3 linked regions of the Tamandua tetradactyla genome follow. The protein of the gene in region 3 purifies or fractionates together with the protein of the main gene of each other region. This does not show direct contact. Links are inferred from orthologs where the notes say so. Each region holds a gene or a part of one and is shown on either strand. Other genes may lie near its edges. The genes, in order: SH2D1A, SH2D1B and CD84.

Evidence for each region.
Region 1: the proteins of CD84 (region 3) and SH2D1A purify together in Homo sapiens (affinity purification with western blotting; 4 studies listed by BioGRID and IntAct, with this or other methods). This does not show direct contact. The link is inferred for Tamandua tetradactyla from reciprocal best matches to the Homo sapiens genes CD84 and SH2D1A.
Region 2: the proteins of CD84 (region 3) and SH2D1B purify together in Homo sapiens (affinity purification with western blotting; 3 studies listed by BioGRID and IntAct, with this or other methods). This does not show direct contact. The link is inferred for Tamandua tetradactyla from reciprocal best matches to the Homo sapiens genes CD84 and SH2D1B.

The regions. Positions count from the first base shown.
Region 1 is NC_135353.1:40,834,707-40,842,675, forward strand, and holds the start of SH2D1A (SH2 domain-containing protein 1A), read right to left. Parts: upstream 3,202-7,969; 5' UTR 3,017-3,201; coding exon 2,880-3,016; intron 1-2,879.
Region 2 is NC_135330.1:15,552,639-15,561,108, forward strand, and holds the start of SH2D1B (SH2 domain-containing protein 1B), read right to left. Parts: upstream 3,140-8,470; 5' UTR 2,990-3,139; coding exon 2,841-2,989; intron 1-2,840. UniProt on the Homo sapiens protein: Cytoplasmic adapter regulating receptors of the signaling lymphocytic activation molecule (SLAM) family such as CD84, SLAMF1, LY9 and CD244. In SLAM signaling seems to cooperate with SH2D1A/SAP.
Region 3 is NC_135330.1:13,723,756-13,732,136, reverse strand, and holds the start of CD84 (SLAM family member 5), read left to right. Parts: upstream 1-5,115; 5' UTR 5,116-5,148; coding exon 5,149-5,194; intron 5,195-8,381. UniProt on the Homo sapiens protein: Self-ligand receptor of the signaling lymphocytic activation molecule (SLAM) family.

The sequences.
Region 1 (7,969 bases), on a different chromosome or scaffold from region 3:
CTTTAGTGCCTTTAGAATGAGATTCAATTTTCTAAAACTGAAGAGTAGAAAACTTTCAAAGACATATGTAAAGATCGTGATTAGGAGAATCCAGAAGTAGGAAAGAGGTACATATAATTCGAAAGGCAATTGTTACTCCTACAATAAAAATACAGAAAATAAAGTTCAAGAAAACCTTCTTGGATGGTGAGAAAAAAGAAAAGTAGACTGATAAACCATTTCAAGTGAACCTGCAATGAATGCATGTTTGTTTAGCTCTATCTTGCTGATCATGTGTTTATGGCATATGTATATAGCACCATTTACATAAGTATTTCTATTTTACATCTACTTTATTTCCACTCTTTAGTTTATATGATAAACCTAAATATTTTGTTTTAAAATAAGTACATGGTGCATTTCAAAATAAAATCTGATTTTGTTGTTATTACAGTATAGTGGCAAAAGGGAGCATGAAATATTTTTGTTTATCAGAAGGCACCCTGGACTCAAAAAGGTTAATAAACTGATAAAAGACAATGTTATCAAAAAAAAAAAAAAGGCAATGTATCTTCCCTCTGCAGCACAGTCTAGCTATCACTCTAACAGCCCAAGGACCCCCAATTTGCCTAACTCTATTTTGTACTACTTCATAAGGAGGTTTTCATGGAGAACTAAGAGTTATAAAAACTGTATTTATACAAGATTCACTTTGAGTGAAAACTAAATGTTTGAGAATTTCTTATCTGCCTAAATTAATTCCTGACATGGTCTCGGCAAAAGGCTAAAGTTGTCCTTTTCTCTTGCATATTTTACTTTATACCAATTTTATACTGAAAGTAGGGCATGCATCACAATTCCTGTTTTACAAATATGGAAACAAAGGCCCAGAAAATTAAGTGACTTCCCCAGGGCCTGCATCTTTGCCTTTGCGGTAAAGAACAGAATTTGTCTCCACAGGCCCAAGAGGTTTCAGACAGTGTTCCTAGTGCTGGAGACACAGCGGTAAACACACTGTCCCTGCTGCCATGGAGATTATGTTTTAGCAGGAAAGCCCAACGATAAATAAGTAAACAAGCGAATGTCAGGTAGTTTTAAGCTCCTTGAAGAGACATAAAGGGATAGCGACAAACCAGGAGAGAACACTTATTTTAGATAGAGTGATCAAGAAAGTTCCCTCTGAAGAAAGACAGAGCTGAAGAAATATGTGAATTGAATATATTTTTGACAAAAGGAACAAGTGCAAAGACCCTAATGAAAGAGCGTGCCTGACATACTTGAGAAACAGCAAGGAAGTGTGGCTGAAGCCTTAGGTGAGTCTTGCCACATACCATCCCCTGCTCTCCCTCTCCTGCTAAGGCTTCTTTTGTACCCTCTTTTTGTACCTCTAGATTAAGGAACCCGTCACATCTTTTGTTAACTTTTAAAGCAGCCCCTTTCACTTGCCCACTCACTCTTCCACCTTCTTTTAATAAGAGTCTGAAAACATCAGTTGGCTTTCAACGACCTTCCTTAACTCCTAACCAGGAAAGACAATATTATAAGCAAAACATAAAAATTCATGCCCAAGAGATTCAATAGCTTCCACATATTTTCCTTGAATCTTTTATAATAAATCCACTTAGTATGGCCAGAGAATAGGTATATTCTGGTTAATTGAGAGCCGCCACAAACATAGATTTCCCATTTCTTAAAAATATATGCAATTAAAAGTCCCTAACACCAACTTTGATGTAACATTTCTTCACTAACCCAGAACATACCTCAAAATCTTGCAGTGTGTCATTAGATACTGAATTTACTACAAAGCATTTTCCCTCATTTTGTTTCTGTCAGGAGACTGCTTGAGGGACTGACTGGTATTTTCATCATTGTTTTTATTTTGCTGCCAAAAAGTGCTAGGCCCTTGCCTAGAAATACACCCATGCGTATGTACTAAAAGAAATCAGACTGAACAAAGGATGCCTCACATTGAATATTTACTGTGGGTCAGATCCCAGTGCCAAGTATTTTTGCATGCAGTATGGCATTTAATCCATGCTGAGGTACTTAGTAGTATTACACCCATTTTATGGTTGAGAGAACTGAGAGATTAACTTGCCTGAGGTCACAAACCTAGCATCTGCCTAGCACAAGATTAGGTCTCAGATATATCTGTCTCTGGAGCCCTGGAGCAAAGATGAAGATACATCTGATTCAAAATGGGAATTCAGACTGAAACATGCCTAGGTAAAAGGCAAGGCTGAATCATAACAAGAGTGTTTTCCTTCTCTGCTCTTTACAACTGTGGTCACACCTAGCTTTTTTTTAAGGGTCCTATTTCTGAAATCCCCTGCCCTACACACAAATCTTCTAAAAGGAAGCAAATTAAGCAGATCCAGAGAGCAGTTTGACTCACAAACATCTGCTATCCCGACCTGATGAGTTGCAGTCTTCACGTAATGGATTCAGTTTCTTATCTTCCTCCTCTCCTTGAATCTGATGGTCTGTCTGAGATAAGGCCTCCAAATCCCTTTAAAAGTAGCCTCAGAAAGACCTTTCCTTCTCTCAGGAGCTGTGACCCCAAATCTAACCCAGGCACCATCCCAGGGCTCCACCTTGCTCATCTCTATGAGATACATGGTCTTTCTTAAAGTGAAGGTAAATTCCCGGTCACATTTTCCCACCCAAAAGGGCATTTTCTGTAGCCATCCCCCCAAATCCCTGGTGAGGCCTTTCTGGAGCAGGCGAATGAAATCCTGAGTTGTCTAGGCTGAAGTATGGTGTGCCATGGACCAGGGCTGGACCTGAGGAGGCCTTCAGGCCACAAACTCCCACAACCTGTGTTCTTGCCTGAGCCCGACCACCACAGCCCACCCACCACCTTTGCCCTCCGTAGGTCCCCACGGCTGCATACTCACAGCACACACAGGCAGTAGACTCCCGGGACGCTCTCACTGTCCCTTAGCAGATAGCTGCCGTCCAGACCTGTAGCAAGCAGGAGCTTCTCCCCGGTTTCCCGGCTAATTTTGCCGTGATACACGGTCACTGCATCCATGACCTGGTGGATTCGTGTGGGTCAAAACGTCTGATAAAAGAGATGCCACTGCAGCTATAGTCAGGCCGAGTCAGCCACCTGTCTCCCAGTTCAGCCAGATGTGCAAGAAACAGAGAAATGCACCCGAACAACAGGATGTTGTCAGTGTGCGTGAAAACCTTCTCACACTTCAACTAAAACCAACTCAGCAATTTAGCAGCTTGGTTATCGCCTCGGAGCTCGCTCCCTCTCCCCGTCCTCCAACTAAAAGGTTCATATGGAGAAGGGAAGAATGTTGGAAGATGATGGCCCTTTCAAGAAGATTTCAGCTGCACTGCTAACACAGATCCTTGCACACACACAGTGATGCTTGGCAATGTTGCTCATGCAGTTTTCCCAGGGGCCGGCAGGGATGATGCAACTTTAACTAGCTCCCCCAAAGGGATGGATGATAGAGGCAAGTTGTACAGGCCCTCATGTGGAGTGGAAACATACTGACAGAGATTGAACGAAAGGACCAAAAACAGTGACACCAAGCTATCAGTATTATACACGCAAGCTATCAGTATTATCAGTGCATACTGAATGTGGCCGTGAGGCTCCTAGGAATCAGACATGGTGGGTGAGCATTGGACTTTAAGGAAGCATTTTCCCCTCTTCACCCTCCTACTGCTACTGACCCTCTCCTATGCTTTTCCTCCAACTCCTCCCTTGTGTAGCTATCTTGAACAACCTTGAACCTGAGCAAATACCGATTTTTCCTATCTTGTCTAAAATCCAAAAATGCAGTTGGAGTACAAAAATCACAGCCTATGTCCCAGATTTATCCACTTGATGGGCTGTAGATGAGAGAATGAATTATCTAATTGTTGCATTGCCTTTATGTGGACATACATGTACTCTCTGGTGTATAAGAACCACTTTTCAGCATTTGGGGCATAAAGCCTGTTTTAAATCATTTCGAAGTGTTGAGGATTTTGCGGTAACTCTTATTCTCTGTTTTTTTTTCTAGAGAATATTTTTTTCTTAAAATGATGCTAAACTATCATTAATTTTTAAAAATATTTCAACTTTCTTTTCCTTATCTGAAATAAACATCGCTTCTATTTCAAAATATGCTGTTAAATAATATTTCCCAAAAGCTTTCTCCATTTTTAACAGAATAAGACTTTGCTAATGCCTAAAACTGAACAGACTTATACATTTACCTTTAGATTATGTAAAGTATTTTTTAAACTGAAATTTAAATAACTGAAGTTTTGTTGTCTGCTGTATCCCTTCCACAACTTCAGTGCCAATTCTTTGAAAACATGACAAGGCTCAGAGTTCAATAGGGAGAACAGTTTTCAAATCCTCACTTGTCCTACTAATGAATCAAATGCACAGACCTGCTTTATGCTAAAGCCAAATATTTGCTCTCTACCCATTACAATTAAGAACAATCTTCTAAGATTTAAGGTGGTAGCTGGTAGCAACTCAACTTCTTGATTGAAGAGTGCCCAGTCTGAATGATAATTCATATAGAATCTAGCAATCATAGTACTTAAAGTGTGAACAGAGCCTCCTGCAGTCATTTTCAACACCAAAAATAAATATATAGCATCCAAGGTTACATTTGGGGATGACTCCAGGGAATTGGATAATATGTCTCATCACCTTCCTACCTCACTTTTCTTCTTTTTTGCCAACTCTGCCTCACTCCTTCTTATATTTTGGATCAAGAAAGCAATTAATCTGATAAGTGAATGGATATTCCAATGTTAAGGACTTAAAAAGTTAGTCCTCCTTGGAGTCTTTGTATTTTGAGTGGGCAAATGATTAGCCCAGAGGAATCAATCGCATTAGTGGTATTTCAATCATGAAAGGAAAAGATAGGGAAAGGTACCCCTTCATATCAGTCCATATGGGCAACAGCCTACCTGTGAGGTGATCTGTGAGAACATTTGGTGTTACATAGGTAAAAAAACAAAACCTAACTTTTTATTCTCAGTACAACTCTAAACAAATCATCCACAAACTTAGGAACAGAGCAACCTGAATCCGACAGCAGAAGTATACCATGCATTCTTCTTTCCTTTGCTTGTTTTGTGTTGCTAAAATAGCACACCTATCAAAGCAGCGAGGTATGATGGCATTCAGCACAACTAAAGTTGTAAAAAACAGAACAGATAAATTATAAGGTAATAGTACAACGCTCACATCCAGTACCTCATTGTCATCTCAAAAGCAAACTGACAGCTGAGCCACCCCACTACTGCAGTGTTGATGGAAAATACTAACATCTTCACTCTAATGCTACACCAGTACTAAACCTGGCTTTAGCAAATTCAGATCTCTACACTGAGCTTGCATTGTAGAGAAAGGAAGAACTGAAATGACTTTCTTCCTCCCTCCAACGGAGATAACAAAAGAGAAAGAATTAGGAAGAATGAGCGCCCCCCCCCAAAAAAAAGAATATAAACCACTATAGGAGCAGAATGCAGTCCATGATTGCAGGACATTTTGTTCTTTGTTCATCACTACATCCCCAGTGGCCGGTACATTATAGATAATATTTATTGAATGAATGAAAAAATGATTAACATTCTCAAGAAAATACAGAAAAAATACTGAAATTCACTTTTGCACACACACATTAAAATTTGGTTCTACATGCTTCAGGGCCCACCCATGAAGGAGAAAAATGAATTGGAAAAACCATTAATTCAGTAACTATGATAGTCCAACTATACACCATGTTTTGTCACTAAATCACTTCCTCTCTCCAAGCCTCATTTTTCCCCACCTGTAAAATGCAGTTGAACCAGATGGCCCTTAAGGTCACTTTCAGCTTTAACATTTTATGCTTTAAATGAAAGTTTAGCATGCATTAGAGAGAAACAAAGGGGAAATGCACTGAGTTAATATTTGTGTGCAAGAAGCAAGAGCTATTTCCTTGTCTTACACAATAGGGTATAGATTTTTGTTCTTGTTTTAAAATAACCGAAGAAATTAGTCATGGTGTGGAGAAAGAGACCTGCACAATTTAAAGCAAACTACAACCTTTTAGAATACAGATATTGCATAAATCAAATATAATATAAAAGCATTGAATTCAGAATTGTCAACCAAGAATAAAAGTCTTCTTATCCAAACTTGTCATCTCCTGAGATCTCTGAGAAGTGACAGAATTTTGCACATGGATGCCTGGTCTGAGGTGCTAATTGTCTTCATTTCAAATGCCCTAGGCTATTCTCAAGCCCAGGTAGATTAAAGGGATGATGCCAAGGGTGGTCAATTTTATAGAGTGGTTCTGACATTTCAAAATCTTTTTCTCTAACCTTTCAAACCTAACTTTGTTCTTCAACTAACTCATTTCTAGGTGTGAATTCTACTGTGACAGTGTTATGATATTGTCACCTGTGGTGAGTTTATACATTCTTTCAGAATTTACTAAAAGTCACTTCCTTCACAAAAATGAGAGAAAATTTTAAAATGTCTTTAAAAAAAAGATCACTTCCTTTCAATAATGTCTGGCTTTACCTATGAGGCCATTTTTTAATGCTATTTTGTAAGTGAGAAACCAGAGATAGAGTTGTTGGTCTATGTTTATTTAAGCCTGCTTTAAATGTGTTTATTCTTTCAACCAACATTTTTGAGCATCAACTAAAAATATATACCTAGTAGAGAGAAGAAAAGAAAACACAGTGTCTGCTCTCAAGGAACTCAGTCTACTGAGGAAAACAGACCAGCAAACAGACAATTACAATTCCTTTAAGGGCTGTGATAGAGGAAAGGATGGTGCTCTGCCGCATAGTAGTGGGACAACTAATGACCTATATTCTAAACCTGCGCATCCTATTAGAAGCAGCAAGTTTTATATATTTCTGTCTACTATATACAATTCCTTTTACTTGTCCTAATTTTACCTCCTTCATGAACTCAAAGTGGGCTCCCTAATTCTAGCTGAAATTCTGCCTAATTTTGAGGTTTTATTCTTGGAGTAAAAGCAATAGTTAATATTTGTTAATTGCTTACAACATTCCAGGCATCCTGCTAAACACTTTGTATATATTATCTCCTGTATTTATATCTACAGTCCTATGAAGCAGATACCATTATTATCCCATGTTACCAACAAAGAAGCCAAAACTCAGAGAGGCTAAGTAACCTACTCAAGGTTGAACTACTTGTCTGTGTCAGACCCAGGATTTGAATACAGGCCAGCTGGCTACAGATCCTGTGCATTTCACCACCATCGTCTTCTGCCTTCCACCACTAATTCTGCTATCACTGCCCTGGATGGCTCAGACTTCAGTCTCCTATCTAAGAAGGATAATTCTGGCTTCTGCAATATTCTTACATTCAAGTATCAACTCTTCCCCTGCCCTGACTTACAGGAGACCTATGTCTACATGCCTTATGAGATCAGCTATACGGCTTTTGCTTGGGTCTTTTTACCTCTTTTGGAAGGATATTACAGAGTGAAAGTCTGTTCTCTCAGGCTTACCATCTGGAATCTGAATCATCAGCTTATCCTTGCTAAGTCACAGAACACTGATTGGTTTGTTTTTAAAAGATTTGGGCATTCTCTATCCTAGACTAATTTGGTTATGCAGTTTATAAGTCAAGAGTCTCCAAAGAAACACAATCGAAAGGATATATCTATGAAACTATTATTAGATTTACTATAGGAATTGGCTCAGGTGGTCATGGGGATTGGCAAGCCCAAGTTCCAAAGGGCAAGCTGCAATTTGGAAACTCTAATGTAAGTTTTGATGAATTTCCCAGGAGAAGCTGGCTGGCTGAAGTAGAGAGAGAATTCTTCTTTCTGACTGTTGAAACCATCAGTTCTCCCCTTAAGGCCTTCAACAGATTGGACCAGAATTCTATCATTGCTGAAAGTAATCTCCTTTGTTGCTTGTAGGTGTAATCAACCATAGATGCAATCAACTGACCCATGATTTAAATCTGTTAACTACCCTCACTACCCTC
Region 2 (8,470 bases), about 1.8 Mb from region 3:
AAAAAAATGCCATTATTCTTTTAATTTGTCTTTAATTATGAGTGACAACTAGTTTTTTTCCATACATTTCTTTTTCTAAGAATCTCCTGCCCTTTTACTTTATCCATTTTTCTACTGATTTTTAGAAGCTCTTTATATGTTAATGCAATTTTTTTTTTCTAACAGCTTGTCAATTGTCTTTGAAGTTGTTTGATCTTAGTTTTTTACTACGCTCATATATACTAATCTTTTTATCTATGGTGCCTGGATTTTATTTGTCACTTAGGAAGGCCTTTACACTTAAAGCAGTACTTTTTAATAGTCCCTATTTTCTTTTAATACCCATAGGTTCATTTTTTTAAAAATAGAATAAGTATTTGAACCATTATACAGTAATTTTACTTCTAGAAGTAAGAACGGGATTCAAATTTATTTTATTCTATGTGAACCAGCCAAGTGTCCTAATATCATTAATTGTCATTCTTTTCTTTATTGATTTGGGTTTTTGTTTTGTTTTGTTTTGTTTTTGCATGGGCAGGCCCTGGAAATCGAACCCGGGTCTCTAGCATGACAGGCGAGAACTCTGCCTGCTGAGCCACCGTGGCCTGCCCCTTCTTTATTAATTTGAAATACTATTTTAATCATACGCCAAATTCTATTTATTTAGTACTATTAAACTCTTTTAATTACTGTAGTTTTATAATATATTATGTTTGGTAGTTTTATTCTATCCCCTTCTTTTATCAAAAAATTTCCAGCTATTCCAGCAAGTTCTTTGCCCCCTCCTCCCACTTGGATGAACCTTATTATCCTTGGACAAATTTTTTAAATTCTGTTACTTTTGCTGGAAAATGCTGAATTTATAGATTAATTTGCGATGAACTGACATGCTTCCAAAATTGAGTCTTTCCACTCATTCTAGTCTTCTTGTGAGCCCTCAGTAGATATTTAAGTTTTCTTCATTTAAGTCTTGCACATTTCCTGTTACATTTATTCCTGAGCATTATTTTTATATATTTTGCTAATATAAACAGGTTATTTTATTACATTTTCTTACTGGTTATTGTTTCTATGTAGGAAAGCTATTTATTTTTACATTTTAATTTGGAAACACGTGCGCTAACTGAATTTTCTTCAAGTTTCTAGTAGGAGTTTTTGATTTTTCTTTCCAGTAAAATCTTGGATTTCAAAGGTATACAATTATACCAACTTCAAATGATAATAAATTTGCATCTTCCTTTTCAATTTTGAACCTTATTGATTTGCACATGCTGGTATCTCCTGAAAAATGTTACATAGTAGTGCTGATAATGAGCATCATTGTCTCATTCACTACCGTAACAGGAATTTTTCTAGTGTTCCATTTGGCCTTTGATTAGGAGTGTATAAGGGGTGTGTAAGTGCATCCATGTGTGAGCATGCGTGTGTATCTAATTGGAGAGATGGATATTGAATTTTATCTACTACTTGTGAAGCAAATTTGAGTAAGTCATATAGTTTGTTATCTTTGACCTATTAATATGCAATTAAATTAATAATTTTCCTAACGTTGAAACCTCCTAGATTTCCTGGATTGTACGACTCTTGATCATAGTATATTTTCTACTTTAATGTGTTTCTATGTGTTAATAGTTTAGTTTAGTACAAATTGATACAAGTGAAATCAGTCTGTAGTTTTCCTTTGTGTCTGGGTCTCTTTTTGGAAAAAATGCTTTATCTTTATACACAGAATTTGAAAAACGTTAATAAAAAGAGAACAACACAAGCTAACAGTGGGTAAAGGAAATGACTAAGGAGTTCTCAAAAGAGAATTCCCAATGGATTAAAAAAAATATGAAAACATGCTCAACCTCAATTGCAACTTGAAAATGAAAGTTGATAACCCACGACAGTTTCATAACTGAATCCCTAACACCATTTAAAGAAGAAATATATCCCTACCTATTCTATTAGTCATGGCAGTCATTTCTGTCTTCATAGCTCTCTAATTCTAAGAAGCACAAAAGTTTATCCATGGAGACACTTGGGTTTCAATTTGCATAACAGAAAGAAGGGGAAAGGTTTGGCGGTCTCCATTTTAAAAAGAAGAGAATACACAAGAGAGAATACAAGAATACAAGAGAATACAAGCTAAGAGGCTTCCACTATCTGCCTGGGATTGCTTTCTAAACTCAGTATAAACAACTCCTTCAGCAGGGTAGCTCTGATACCCAGAGCTGGAATTTTACACTTAACTCAGATGTTTTGGAAATGCTAGCTGAGTTTTAATGCCGAAAAGTCATTTGAGAAAGGTGGGTCTCTGTTTCTTCACCTATGAAATGGTGACTGCTTATCCTTGCCTTATAGACCTCAAGAAGGATGAAAGGAAATGCTGTACAGATCTTTACAAATCTAAATAAAAATGTGAAATATTATCAGTATTTCAAGACTTTTATGTGGAAGTGACAGAAGGAGTGACAACTTGGTCTTTCAGATTGAAATTTCAAGCAAGGCCTTTGCCATACCAAATAAAGAGACCTGCAGAGAAAAGGGCCTTTCTCGCATTCCTACCTTCTCTCCACTACCTGCCCACACCCCACCTCCCTATCTCCTGCGTTACCTGCCCCCTTCCCTTCCCCACCAGCCCCTCTTCTGCTGCTGCAGGGGATCTGATCATGCAGCGTTTACACCAGGGAGAGAGAGAGGCAGGTGGGAGAGCAAAGGCAGATGCCTTCCTTCCGTCTCTTCCTGGCAGTGTCTAGCTATTTCTCGCTCTAGTCATTTGGGCTGCAAAGCAAAGTGAAATAACATCTTTGTATATTTGGTTGCCATTATTCCATTCGATATAAGGTTTCCAGTGTGGGGGAGACGAGGCTACTCACGAGACACAGAGGCACAGCACTCCTGGCACAGACTCGCTGTCTCTTAACAGAAAGTTGCCGTCCACCCCTCCATTGAGCAGCAAGGTCTCACAGTCCCTCTTGTTCAGAGGGCCATGGTAATAGGGCAGATCCAGGGGGGCCCCTGCCATATCTCAGGGTGCCTTGTCAGCTGAAAATCCAGTCTTGAGTCAAGGGACGGTTCTGGGGAGAGAAGTGGAAGCAACTGGCCTGATGGAGTCTGTGGCAATACTCCTTCCGCTCTGTCTGTGAGTAGTGAGACAAGGTCTGTAGGACTTAGCCTGCTTCACAAGCTCCAGGAAATGAAAAGGTGGGGGTGAAGTGACCAAGCCATTTCAACCTACAAATGGACTGAGTGTGAGTTGTTTTGACTCACAGACATGCATGAGAATTCCTCTGAGTATGCAATGGAATCACGCTCTTCAGCAGTGGCTGCAATGTTGAAGTCATCCTCTCCAGATCTGGGTTGTAGTCTCATGTATCACCGTATAGCACCATTTTTTTTTTTTTTAACCTTCTCTGGCTACTGGCTGTCTCCTCCAGAAGGAGTACCGCTGCTTTTGCTGTAATAGCTGCCGATTTTCAGCTGGAGCTTCCTATGATTGGGCTATGCTTAGCCCAGAACGGTGTTCAAAACATTTGGGTGCTGCATGAATTTAGATATGTCCAGACACAGTGAGCCAATTGAAAGGACCAGACTTTCATGAGTCTACCTGAAAAATGGAGAACATCAATGGGAAGAGAAATCAACTGGACACTCTCAGGGAGGACCCCATCCCATGGCTAAGCTCCACGCCACTGAGAACCAAGGCTCTTTATATCCTCAGGCATTATGCCTTTGGGGAAGGAGGAGCTGGTGCTGGTGGGAGGGATATCCAAATATACAAGCTTAGAGAGGGGATATTTCTCCAGGTGAAAGAAAAGAGTTTATTGGGCCTGGATTTAGAGACCTGTAGGTCCTTTGAAGTTCCTGTCCTGGAGGAGAGCCCTGATGTGCCCCCATGAAGAAAGAACAAGACAAATCTATCTAGCCAGAGACACCTGGCCCCCTTTAAACCAGCAGACACCTGGTGCTGATGAGGCAATTCATTCTATTTCTGCTGATCAGCTGATATCCTTGGGAGAGGTAGAGAATCTGTTGGCTTTTGTTATCTGAGTGTGAATAAGTCCTGATTATAATTCCCAAGGCCTTTTTGATCAGCAAAACCATCCTGTATATTAATTTCAGATGGAATAAGCCATGCAAGCATACCTATCATGTTTTTAACTGGATTACATTTATTTAACTTTTGTTTACTTAACAATTACCACCTGTGTTAGTTTGCAAGCTGCCAGAAAGCAATATCCCAGAACTGGAGTGGCTTTTACAAAAAACTGTAAAGTTATAAGTTTACAGTTCTAAGCTTGTGGAAATGTCCAAACTAAGGGGTCCAGGGAAAGATACCTTAATTCAAGGAAGACTGATGGATCTGCAACACCTCTGCAGCTGGGAAAGCACTCTGGTCCCTTGCTCCTGGGCTCCCTTGCTTTCAGCCTCTGTACCTGTGGGGGTTCCTCACTTTGCTTCTCCAGGGCTGACTTTCATCTCTCGGCTTCCCTTGGCTCTCTCCAGGTTCTGGCTTGCTTAACATCTCATGGTGACGTCTGCTGGGCTCCAAGCATTTCCAGATATCCTTGTTTCTGTTCTCCACATGTTCTCATCTGTGTCAGCTCTGCTGTGAAGTTTCTATCAGCTCTGAGGCTTCTGTCATTTCTCCAGGCTTGCTCGTTTCTGCCGTTTCTCCAAAATGTTTTCCCTTTTAAAGGCTCTAGTAATCTAATCAAGACCCACCTGGAATGGGTGGAATCACATCTTCATCTAATAAAAAATTAATACCCACAATTGGGTGTATCACAGCTCCGTGTAGATAATCTAATCAAGTCTCCAGCCTACAAAACTGAATAGGGATTAAAAGAAACAGCTGCCTCCATAAGACAGAATCAGGATTAAAACATGGCTTTTCTAGGGTACATAATACTTTCCAAACATAATACTTGCACACCACCATACGATGATAATCATTATAAACCATATGTGAATTTCTCTCCCTGTTCAGCTGCTCCCACTTAAATATCTGTGGGAATCATTACGTCTCTCAACTATATAACTTTAAAAATAGAACCATGTGCTCATGATTCATTCTTCTCCCTTACCAATATAACTCTGCAGTCTTATCCCAGATGGTTATTTCATCTCGCTGCTTTGCCTAAGAGCTGTCCAACTACTCTTCTTTTAAAAAATATTTTTATTGAGAAATATCCACACATATAAGTCCAACCATATTATACAATCAGTGGCTTGCAATATCATCACATAGTTGTGTATTCTTCACCACGAACATCTTTTAGAACATTTGCATCACCCCAGAAAAAGAAATAAAAAGAAAGAAAATGAACTCATATATCCCAGGCCCCTTGCCCCTCCCTCTCACTGACTGCCAGTATTTCAACCTACCCAATTTTTACCTTTATCTCCCCCTATTTTTTATTTAGTTTTTTTAACTTTTTTTTTTTAGTCATTTGCCCATACCCAGGATAAAAGGAGCATCAGACACAAGGTTTTCACAATCACACAACCACATTATAAAAAGCCATATAGTTATAAAATCATCTTCAAGAAATAAGGCTACTGGAACACAGTTCAATGGTTTCAAGTACTTCCCTCTAGCTACTCCAATACACCATAAACTAAAAAGGGATATCTGTATACATCCTAGATAACCTCTCAACTCTGAAATCTCTCAGCCATTGAGACTTTATTTTGTCCCATTTCTCTCTTTCCGCTATTGGTCAAGAGGGCTTTCTCAATCCCATGATGCCAGGTCCCGGCTCATCCCCAGGAGTCAGGTCCCATATGCCAGGGAGATTTACATCCCTGGGAGTCATGTCCTATGTAGGGGGCAGGGCAGTGAATTCACCTGCCAACTTGGGCTTAGGGAGAGAGGCCACATCTGAACAATAAAAGAGGTTCTCTGGGGGTGACTCTTAGGCATACTTATCAATAGGCTTCGCTTAACCTTTGCAGGAATAAGCTTCATAGAGGCAAGACTCAAGATTGCAGGCTCAACCTATTGGTTGTCCCCATATCTGTCCAACCACTCTTGGGTTGCATCTCCCATGGAATTTCCCTGTAGCAGGTCATTTTTCTTCCTTGCAAGTTCCACTGCTCTGCTGTGAGTGTAATGGAATTATACTAATCAAAGAACTTGATATCAGAAAGACATGCTCTCAAGTCCAAGTTTACTTTTTTTGCTACTTGTGTGGCCTTGGGTAATATGCTATTAATTATAGTAAATAATGGAATACTGGAAATTATGGAAGTTGAGGAGAGAATTACTATTGATGGAAGAGAACATTGGGTATACCAAGTTTTGTGTGAAGATGCTTTTTGACATATGGAGGAAATAATTGCATGCATGCTTGTTCATCATAGAACCTTGCTTGCCTTTCTTCCTATTTCAAAAACAAATTCTACCATCCTCACTCAAAATAAGAGTAATGCAAGCTAATTCCATACTGAAAGTCTCTATCACATTGACGAAAATGAAAAGTGAAAACATACTGGGCTAGTGATGCTGAGATGAAATAGAACATCTCATACATTGTTTGTGGGAATTCAAAATGGTTACAACTCCAATGGAGGAGAGTTTGGCAATATCTAGAAAAACTACATAAGCATTTACCCTCTGATAGATCAAAGGCAGAAATACAAAATGACTTAGGCACAAGGTAATGTATTTAGTAGCAAAGGATTAGACACACCAAAATTCTTCTGAATTTCTTCTACTAAATAAACTGTAATAATCCAACAATGGAATATTAATATGCAGTCATAAAATCAGATGAGGAAGGGCGGGCCGCGGTGGCTCAGCGGGCAAAGTGCTTGCCTGCTATGCCGGAGGACCTCGGTTCGATTCCCGGCCCCAGCCCATGTAGCGAAGGCGGAGAAACGAAATACAATAAAACAAGAAAATGTTTCCCTTTCTTCCTCCCTTCCTTCCTTCTATCCTTCCTTCCTTCTCTCTGTCTTTCCTTTAAAAAAAAAAAAAAAAAAAAAAAAAAAAAAAAAAAAAATCAGATGAGGAAGATCTTTATATGCTGATACCAAGTCATTTTCAGAATATATTATTAGGTAAAAGCAGTAAGGTAAAAACAGTAATACATACAGAGTATGGGAGCTGCAAATAAACGTGCATTTACTCATTTGCAAAAGAAAATAAAACTAGGACTAAATAAAAACAAAAAATGTCAATAATGTAGGTGACGTGGGCATAGAGGTGAGACATTTCTAAATAAAATTTGATATCTAGTTTTGAGTATGAAATCATGTAATTGTTTTATATATTAAAAATAAATATTTTTATATATTTATATATATTTTACATATATATTTTATATATAAAAAATAAATGTGACTTTTTACTTAAGGATGGCTTGTGAACTCATTATGAAATAGCTATCAGAAACAGTTGAGACAATGCATTAAAACATGCCATAATTTATATTTATATGCTAGTTTGATTTGTGTAACATATGAGTTTTTTGTTTTCACAAGGAAAAAATAAATAAATAAATAAATAGGCTCCTTAAAAGAGAGAAAACAAACTAAAATAATGTATATGTAACTATAAAACACTTTCGTTATATAATCATATGGAAAATTATTTCTACTGGCTTTAGAATATAGAATTCGAGTTTACAATCTTAATACAATATCTTCCACTTTGAATAGTTAGTACGTCAGTCGTTTTTTTAACTCACCAAGATGCTGTTTCGTTTTTTTTAGGCCACGTTGTTTCTTTGTCAAATGTGTCATTCCTAATACCGTCCGGGCAGTACAGGGCACACTCACTTCTTTTTCTATGCGTGATATGATTCAATGTTGATTTATTAATAAGAAGTAAATATTTATATTCCATGAATTGATTTTCTATGGCTGGATGACTAAAATAAATGATTTTTTAAAGCAAAATGAAACATTTTTCTCTGAAAGTGTTTCCCAACATACCTAAAAGATGAGATTAATCCTCATTCATTAGTTCAATTTTTAGTAACAATTTGGTATTACTATTTTGAATATATTTCACATACAGAGAAGAACTTTCTGGGAAGATGGTGGAGTAAGGAGCTCCAGCAATCAATCTTTCCACCAAACAGCCATTAAACAGGCAGGAACAGTGGAAGCCAAGTGTCCTGGGGTCTGGAGCCAGAAGGACACTGTCCAGCATCCAGGGTGGAGCAGGAGGAAGAGGCTGATAAACTACAATAAAGAACAGTCAGTTGTTATCTCTGTGCAGTGGCTGCCACCTTGGAGTCCAGATCCTCCCTCTTGCAGTGGGCCACCTTGGGGTCCAGATCCTGGCCAGATCACTGAGGACAGAAAGGAACATAAAAATCTTCTTCCCCAAGAAAATGGGTGGCATGCGGATCACTGACTATGGTTTTTTATTACAAATTCAGATTGCTGGGTCCTGGATCTGAGCAAGGGCTTCAATTTACCTTGGACAAAGGTAAACATTGTTTCAATTCTGCCCCAGACAGGGGAATAAGTAGTGGAGATTTAAAGAAGTAAT
Region 3 (8,381 bases):
TGCTTGCATGAAATATCTTTTCCCAACCTTTCACTTCAATCTACGTTTGTCCTTGGGTCTAAAATGAGTCACCTGTAGACAGCATATGGATGGGTCCTGTTTTTTAATCCATCCTCCCAGTCTATATCTTTTGATTGGGGAGTTTAATCCATTAATATTTAGTGTCATTACTGTAAAAGCAGTGCTTTCTTCTACCATTTTGCCTTTTGGATTTTATAGGTCATATCTATTTTTTTTTTTCTCTTTTTACCTTTACTGGTCGTCTTCATTTCTACACTCTTCTCCACTTCTCCAGTTCTCCATTTCTACACTTCTTTCTCTCCTGTCTTTCCCTATTTGCCCCTAGTGCTGCCTATAGTATTGCTTGCAGAGCCAGTCTCTTGGTCACAAATTCCCTCAGTGATTTTTTTGTCTGAAAAGTTTTAATTTTCCCCTCATTTTTGAAGGACAGTTTTGCTAGGTATAAAGTTCTTGGTTGGCAGCTTTTCTCTTTTAGGATCTTAAATAAATCATCCCACTGTCTTCTCACCTCCATGGTTTTTTTCTGAGAAATCTACACATAGTCTTATTGGGCTTCCCTTGTATGTGATGGATTGCTGTTCTCTGCTGCTTTCAAAATTCTCTTTCTCTTTGACATCTGACAGTCTGATTAGTAAGTATCTTGGAGTATGTCTATTTGGATCAATTCTATTTGGGGTATGCTGCAGTTTTTGGATTTGTAATTTTATGTCTCTCATAAGAGATGGAAATTTTCAATGATAATTTCCTCCATGATCATTCTCCTCCTTTTCCCTTCTCTTCTCCTTCTGGGATGCTCATAACACATATATTCACACATTCATGTTGCCATTCTATTCCCTGAGTCCCTGTTCATATTTTTCCATTCTTTTCCCTATATCTTCTTTTGTATGTCAGATTCCAGATGTCCAGTCCTCTAGTCACTAATCCTTTCTTCTGCCTCTCCAAATTTAATGTTGTAGGTTTCCATCTTTTTTTTTTCTGCATCTCTTCTACTGTGACCTTCATTCCCATAAATTCTGTGATTTTTTTTTGACTATCAATTTTTTGTTGTTGTTGTTCACCCATTGCCTTCTTTATATCCTCCCTCAATTCACTGATTTGATTTTTGTTGAGATTTTCTGTGTCTGTTTAAACATCCTGAATTAGTTGTTTCAACTCCTGTATATCATTTGAATTGTTGGTTTGTTCCTTTGACTGGGCCATATCTTCAATTTTCCTAGTATGACTCATTTTTTGCTGGTGTTTAGGCATTTGATTTCCTTAATTATTGTATTCTGGAGATTGTTTTCACTCTTTTACCTAGGATTTTCTTGCTGGATGATTTTGTTTTCTATGACATTCAGTTCAGCTTATTCTAGACCTCTAGCATTGGTTTTGTTTAACAGATAAGAATTTTTCAGTTCTTGTTTTTCTGTTTCTTGCCCTGCCTGTATGGAGACTTTTTTTTCAGGAGGGCCTACTGAGATATTATAGACCCCAGTCGGATTTTCCTGGACCAGACTGGCCTCCTTTCAGGAGGAAGGAGTCACCTGCATCAGTTTTCCCTGAGGGTGAGACCCAGCAGTTTGAGAGATTTTCCTATGAAGCCTCTACATTCTATGTTTTTCCTATCCTGCCCAGTATGTGGTGCTTGTCTGCCTGCAGTTTCCCACCAGTATAAAGTGATGCAGTGCCTTTAACTTAAGCAGACTCTCCCTGCTGGGGGCGTGGTTGAGACAGAGGAGAGTTTGTAGGCTGGATTTAATTGCTTCCATTTTCCAGTCCTGGAGGTCTGAATTCCTTGAGGGAGGGATTCCACCAGAGCTGGAACCCACCTCTCTCCTGGGAAAGGCACAGCCTCCAGGAAATTAATTCCTTTCACCTGACCAGCCTCTTTGTCTCTCAGACAAGCTTAATTCTGCCCTCGTCTGGGGCAGTTAAGCCTGAGAAGCCTTGCAGTCCTATCTAATGGGTTATTATGTAGAAACAAAGCAAAAACAAATCCTTTTCAAAGCAGAGCCCCCATTCCTTGGGTTTGCTAATCAGGAGCTTAAGTTGGTAAATTGCTCTATGTATCTTTAGGTTCTATGTGCCCCCACCCCACCACCACCACACACACCTTTTCCTATAAGGTCCAGCCCTTTTCAACTATTTTGTGTTATCCAATCCAAAAAGTCTCTGCTTTTGTTTGTTTGTTTATTTTTCCATCAGCCCTGCCCACTCTGTGCCATGGCAAAAACCCCTAGTACCTTTAGCTGTTGTTTGAGGTTTATCTGCATTGGGGGACTATTTTTAATAGTCAGAATTTGTTAATTAGTTCCACAATTGGAACTTGATTGAGGTAAACCCTTGCTGTTAGTAAAGCCTCTTTCCTTTTCCCTCCATGAACCAGCCTGTAGGGGTGGGGCGCTGACTTCGGCAGCTTGTGGGACTTACAGTTCTGTGTGGGATCACAGCTGGTTCAGCTTGTCCAGACTGGTGTATGCTGTGTGTGTCTGGTCATTGATGTGGCCTCAACAGTTGTTCTGTACTTTTCCTGGCTATTTACTAGCTGCCCTAGAGGATGGACTAAATTCTACACCTCACTAAGCCACCATCTTGGAACTGCCTAGCCTCCTATATTCAGGAGAAGCTAAAAGGAAAAATCTGAGAGGATGGCATGGCAGCCCATGACAAATTCTGGGATCTGCCCTGTGACTACTTGTTGAAGAGTGCTTTGAAAACTGTTGCTTTTTTCTTTCTTTGCTTTGTATATATGCTATATTATATAATTTGAAAAGTAAAAAAAAAAAAAGATATAGGAGAAAAATTTCCTTTGTTGAAGGAAGGCTTGAACCATCAGTTTTAAAAAACAATTGGAAGCTGGCCAGAAATATGTAAAGAAAACACACCTGAACATATCCTAGTAAAATCTAAAACCTCAAGGATAAAGAAAAAAGTCTAGATGTTTCCACACAGAAAATGAAAAGAACAAGAATCAACCTGGTATATATTTTCTCATTTACAAAACTAAGTGGTAGAAAGATGGAGCTCATAACCAGCTAAATTGCTATTTACATAACAGTGCAAAACAATTTGAAGATATTTGCAGATATTTATGTATTCAGAATGGGTACATTTAAAAAAATTTTACTCAGGCATATTCGAAGAAGGTAAAGAATATGCTAAGATAAGGATTTCCAAAAAGGAGGGAATTGTGGGAATCAAGGCATACTGTTGAGCAAAGAAACAAATAATAGTAAATTTCAATAATTGTTGACAATCAATATATATTTTATTGCACAAAAATAACGTTAATAAGTTCATTCCTAGGAGAGGATTCCTAAAACAGAAGAAAATGCTGGGAAAAAATATAATAAGGAAATAAAGTTACTATCTATTTAAACAAAATGAGAGGCTAAGAGGAATAAGTACATGTAAATATCTTGCTAGGAGGTGGGGATAGTAATACTCATTAATTATGACTGACAGAAAAAATCTAGATTTGTATATATTTCTTAAAATATTATGTGTATTCATTAATGGAATCCTTCTGCATCCTCATCAAGAGAAGAAGTCTCAAAAGCCAGCATTTTCTTAATAAATATCCCTGGAGCTAAGACCTTAAATAAGAAATCAGCCTAGGATTTTTAAAGACATAGGCATGCGAGCAGGCAAGCATTTTAATGGTAAAGGAATTCCTAGCCCATGTATCCCCACTTCCAAAAAATGCTAAGGAAAGAAGAAATATTCCTACAAAGAAGGAATAAGGGAAAAAAGAGAATATGAATTCAAGGGTTTAACTGCTGATAACTTCATGTTCTCTTTCTTCCTTCTTCTTTCTCTGTACAACTAATAACGTGGGATAAATGTGTATTTTTGCCCGTGGAGTCTTTCAGGAAGATGTGCTTGCTAAAAAGGTGAAAGTGGTGTGGTTTAATCTAGTGAAGTGAAATAATAAGAATTTAAGAGATCCCATTTTTACTTTTAATACTTCTTTGGGCCAAACAGCTTCCCAGTTTACCATATCTACATAAAGGCACTCAACTATTCAATGCTAATCAAGTATATTTGGAGAATGATAAGCAAGATTGTCCACAGAATGACCCTATCACATCAGGTTGACTAGAAATAAGCTAGCTGGCAAGAGAACTCTTCCTCTCAGTGGGAAAGGCTGTGCACAATCTTACTTCCCCCAGCTTTCCCAGAGCTCCCCCAGATAGTCAGGCTTATGTTTATACTGCTAGGTTTAGGAACCCACATGTTTATTTTCATCACCCATCCCCCCACCCCAAAACCACAAGGTCATTCTTATTCTTCTAATGGGGTGGAACAGTCTGGTGTTGCAGGTGGCTTGACCCCAGCCCAAGATACCTCCCTGCACTTTTCTTTCATGCCTATAAGCTCATATTTACCTAGTGGCATTTGCTGGTCTTTACCTGAATTGACTAATTTACTGTGTGATCTTAGGAAAAATCATTTTCCTTCATTCTGAGCCTCGGTTTCCCAATCTGCAAAATAGAATAGACTCAAAATCTCTTTCAGTTCTGAACTTTATCAAACCCTTACTCTGTCCCTAATAATGTATGTTCATAATTATAATAGTAATTGCTACCATTTATTTAGCTCCTATTGTGTGTCAAAACATTCTTCAACTTCCACATTCCCCAATACCTTTCATCTAATAATGCCTTCAGGTCTTTCTCAGCTTGATTTTTTTAGTCCCTTCAGCTGAAGCTTTCTCAAACTCCCCCTGTCCTTGGTTAGCTGTCCCAACCGTTCGCAGAGTTCCCTGTATTTCCCTAATTGCAACACATACCACACTATGTTGGAATTGCCTGATAATCATTGTTCTCCCCAGTAGAAGTATAACCTTCATGAAAGGAGGGAGATCATTTGCTTTTGTTAGTCTTTAAATTGTTATTACCCAGAATAGCGCCTGATACATAGTAGGCACTCAATAAATAATTGTTAAAAGAATTAATTAATGCTGGGTACAGCATGTTATATAATAGAAAAAAACTAGTCCCATAAAAGAAAGACCAACGTTAGCTCACACTTCCCTTTTTTGAAATGCGGCTATAAAAAGGACAAAAAACTTTAAGCAGAACTGACTCTTGGTTGGAAGAGTGCTAGTCTTGCTTACAGAAGATTAGACCCTTGGAGAGAATGGCTCAGCGCAGCTTATGGATCTTGCTTCTTTGGCTGCAGACTTGTGAGTTCTGACCTTTCTGACTCCCTCCTACTTTTCCACAAAGCTTTAGAAATTGCTTTTAAGGAAAACATGGAAATGCCATTTTGATATGTATTTTTAACAGAACACCTTCGCTTAAAATATTCTATTCTGAAAATGGATCCACCTGGCTGGGGAGAGACCTAAGATCCAAACCTAAATGGTTTTCAGCTTTAAAGCTGATATTTCTGAACTTTTCCTGTGTGTGGTCTTTAAAGGTTTGAGACAAATCCCTTTGCTCAGGAGAATTAGTCCTTGGTAGACCCAGCCACAAAGTTCAGAAAATGCATAGATAATTCAAAACTTTGAGTAATTTAAAAGCAATTAATCCTTGGCTTTAGAATGTGTTATATAACTTTTGACAGAGATATGTCCTTCCAAATTACCTTCCATTGCTCTATAAGATTAGAGTGATGCATGACTTATTATTGTAAAAACATCACCTCTACAAGCTCCTTTTATTTTCAAAGCATGTTCAGAGCAATTGCTGTGCTTTAATCCTTCAAAATCTCTCAAAAATAAATGGGTAAGAGATTATTATTTCTATTTTACAATAAATTAGGTCTCAAAAAAAAAGGTGGGGAACTTGAACTAAAAACCCTGTTTTTCTCACTTATGGCTTGATGGTAAACTATAAGGGACAAAACAAAAATTGGTTGTTGTTATTACAAAGAAAACTATGTAACATTAACAAGGTCTGAAAGTGCTTTGTCATTTCACGTTATTATCTCATTAAATTCAAACAGTTGTGCTTTTATATAGGAATTGACTATGGCTGACATTTCTAAATCTTTGTTTCTAGTATCTTTTACCAACTCTGGAAATGCATTAGTAAATTCGGGACATGAGTTAGAACCTAAGAAACCTAGTGGGTTAGATATGTAAAAAATAGAATCAATGCACCTTAGCCCCTCTGGTTCTTTTGACCTCTTAAAACTATGGTTCCTTTACTTTGAGCTTCGTGGTGATTGCAACTAGACAGATCTAGTTTTGGGAGCCTATGTTTGTCACTCTGGCATGGCAGACAGAAAACGCAAGTAGAGGGGATAAACGACTGACTAGAATCCAAGTGAAACTCTAGTTCCAGAGAAGGGCTGAACAGGGAGACATTTAGTCCAACTTAATTTACAAAGTATTCGACAATTTTTATGCCTATGTTCTTAGGCATAAAAATTTACTTTGGTTGTCCATAGTAAAATCATTGAGATAGGCAAGATAATATTAATCCCATCAGCAAATAAAAGTAAACTAAAATTTATAGATCCAGTGATTCACTTGAAGTTTTCACAACAAGTAGCTAGTAGAGTTGGAAATGGGCATTGGTCCTGATTCCAAGTTAGAGGGCTTTCTGCTCTAAGTGACCCCCTCATCATTAAATTTTCAAATCCTTGATATTCTTCAAAGGGCTAATAATACTAAAATAAATGGCTGCTCTAGTATACAATTCTAAAATCAGCTAGTAAAATAGTAAATTATTCACCTATTAGCTTTGTGACTTTAAGCAAATAACCTAACCTCTCTGAGCCTGTGTCTTCAACTACCTATCCAATAGTGTCATTTTAAGAATCAAAATAATTCATGTACAACACTTGACACAATAGCTGGAATATAGTAAGTGCTCTACAAATATTAGCTAATGCTGTTGTTTTTCATACTTCCTTGAAACACAGTACTAGAAAGAACAAGGTCTTTATTGCACAGAGATCCTAGGCAGGTCTCCTTTGCTTAGGATGGTGCAAGGAATAGGGGCAGGAGAAAAGGTGCTGGGAGTTTTGGTTTTGGTGTAGTCTATTGGGTCTGTGGAAAAGGAAATCAGGGATAAGATATTCATTTTGTCAGGAGCACATGAAATGGGAGAGTGAGGACTTGTTTTTGTAGTAAAACCAGAAGTGTTTTCACATTCCATTCATCTTTGCTGAAAGAATCTGTTCACCTCTTAAGGATTATTCCACAAATACTCCCTGAGTGTGAGAATCTGCTCCAAATTCTTCCTGCCGCCATACCTGGCCCCTTATAGTCAGCATTGGGCTCAGGTGTCAACATCAGTGTTGACACCTGCATTATTTTGATTCTTAAAACCACAGTATTGGATAGGTACTGATAGTTTCCCCATTTTGAAGTTGAAGACAAAGGCTCAGTGTTGTGCACTTCTCTAGGTTAAGAGCCTTTGAAGCTGCCAAGAAGCAATGGAAAGATGAAGTTAGAAATCATCGTAGTCCCCTGAAATCACTAAGAGAACTCTGAGTGTGCAAACTCATGACTGCTCCATGCTGGAAATATTTTCTCTAAGAATCAAGACTCATGGTCTCATGCTCTGATCTCAACTTTCTGATCATGACTTCAGGAATATCGTGACTCTGACTCTTCTCTAATATCCTACCAGCCACTCACCCTTTGGGGTGAAGGACAAAAGAGTCCATCACTTTTGTCCCACATCCTTTCCCCTCTACATGTTTTCACACACTCTTTTATATCCTCCTTTCTCCAACTCTTCCTTGCTCCAGTTTCTTCAACCCCACCTCCTGCTCCCTTTTTCTATTTCCCATCAAGAATAGTAGTGCCAGACTATTTGTCTGGCATTTGTCTAAGTAGTCTGCATTTATTACTTTGTTTAATGCTTAATCCTCACAATAATATCCCCATTTTACAGATGAAGAGAATGAGACACAGACTGTTAGAGGTCATTTAGCCAAAAAGTGTAAGAAGAAATACTTTCATCTGCAGCCAGAAGAGTTCCTATAATGAAAACTGAGGCCCCTTTTCATTCCAAGATGATTTCTCAAAAGTACTCTGCAAACATCACTTCAGTTCTTCAGTGGAGTCACCTTTGTGGGAGACTTCAGCCACCGAGAGCTGGGCATCCACTGGGACCGTGGCTTAGGACTGAGAGTAGAATAATGAATTACCCACTTCAAAATGTAAGGGCAATTTTGAGGGCCTGGATTTTTCTCAGGTCTCTTGATAAGCATCCTAATTTCTGTCAATAAAAAATTACCAATCTTTAGAAAAGCACAAGCATGTTTTAAATCCAGGTTACTTTCAGAAGATCTTAGTTTATACTGAGCATTGTCCAATGAGCTTTGATTGTCAACACTATAAACTCTAAACTAGCTTGATGCTTGTTTCTTGTGAAAATGACTATCCCTTCTCCCCATACCTCTACTCCCAA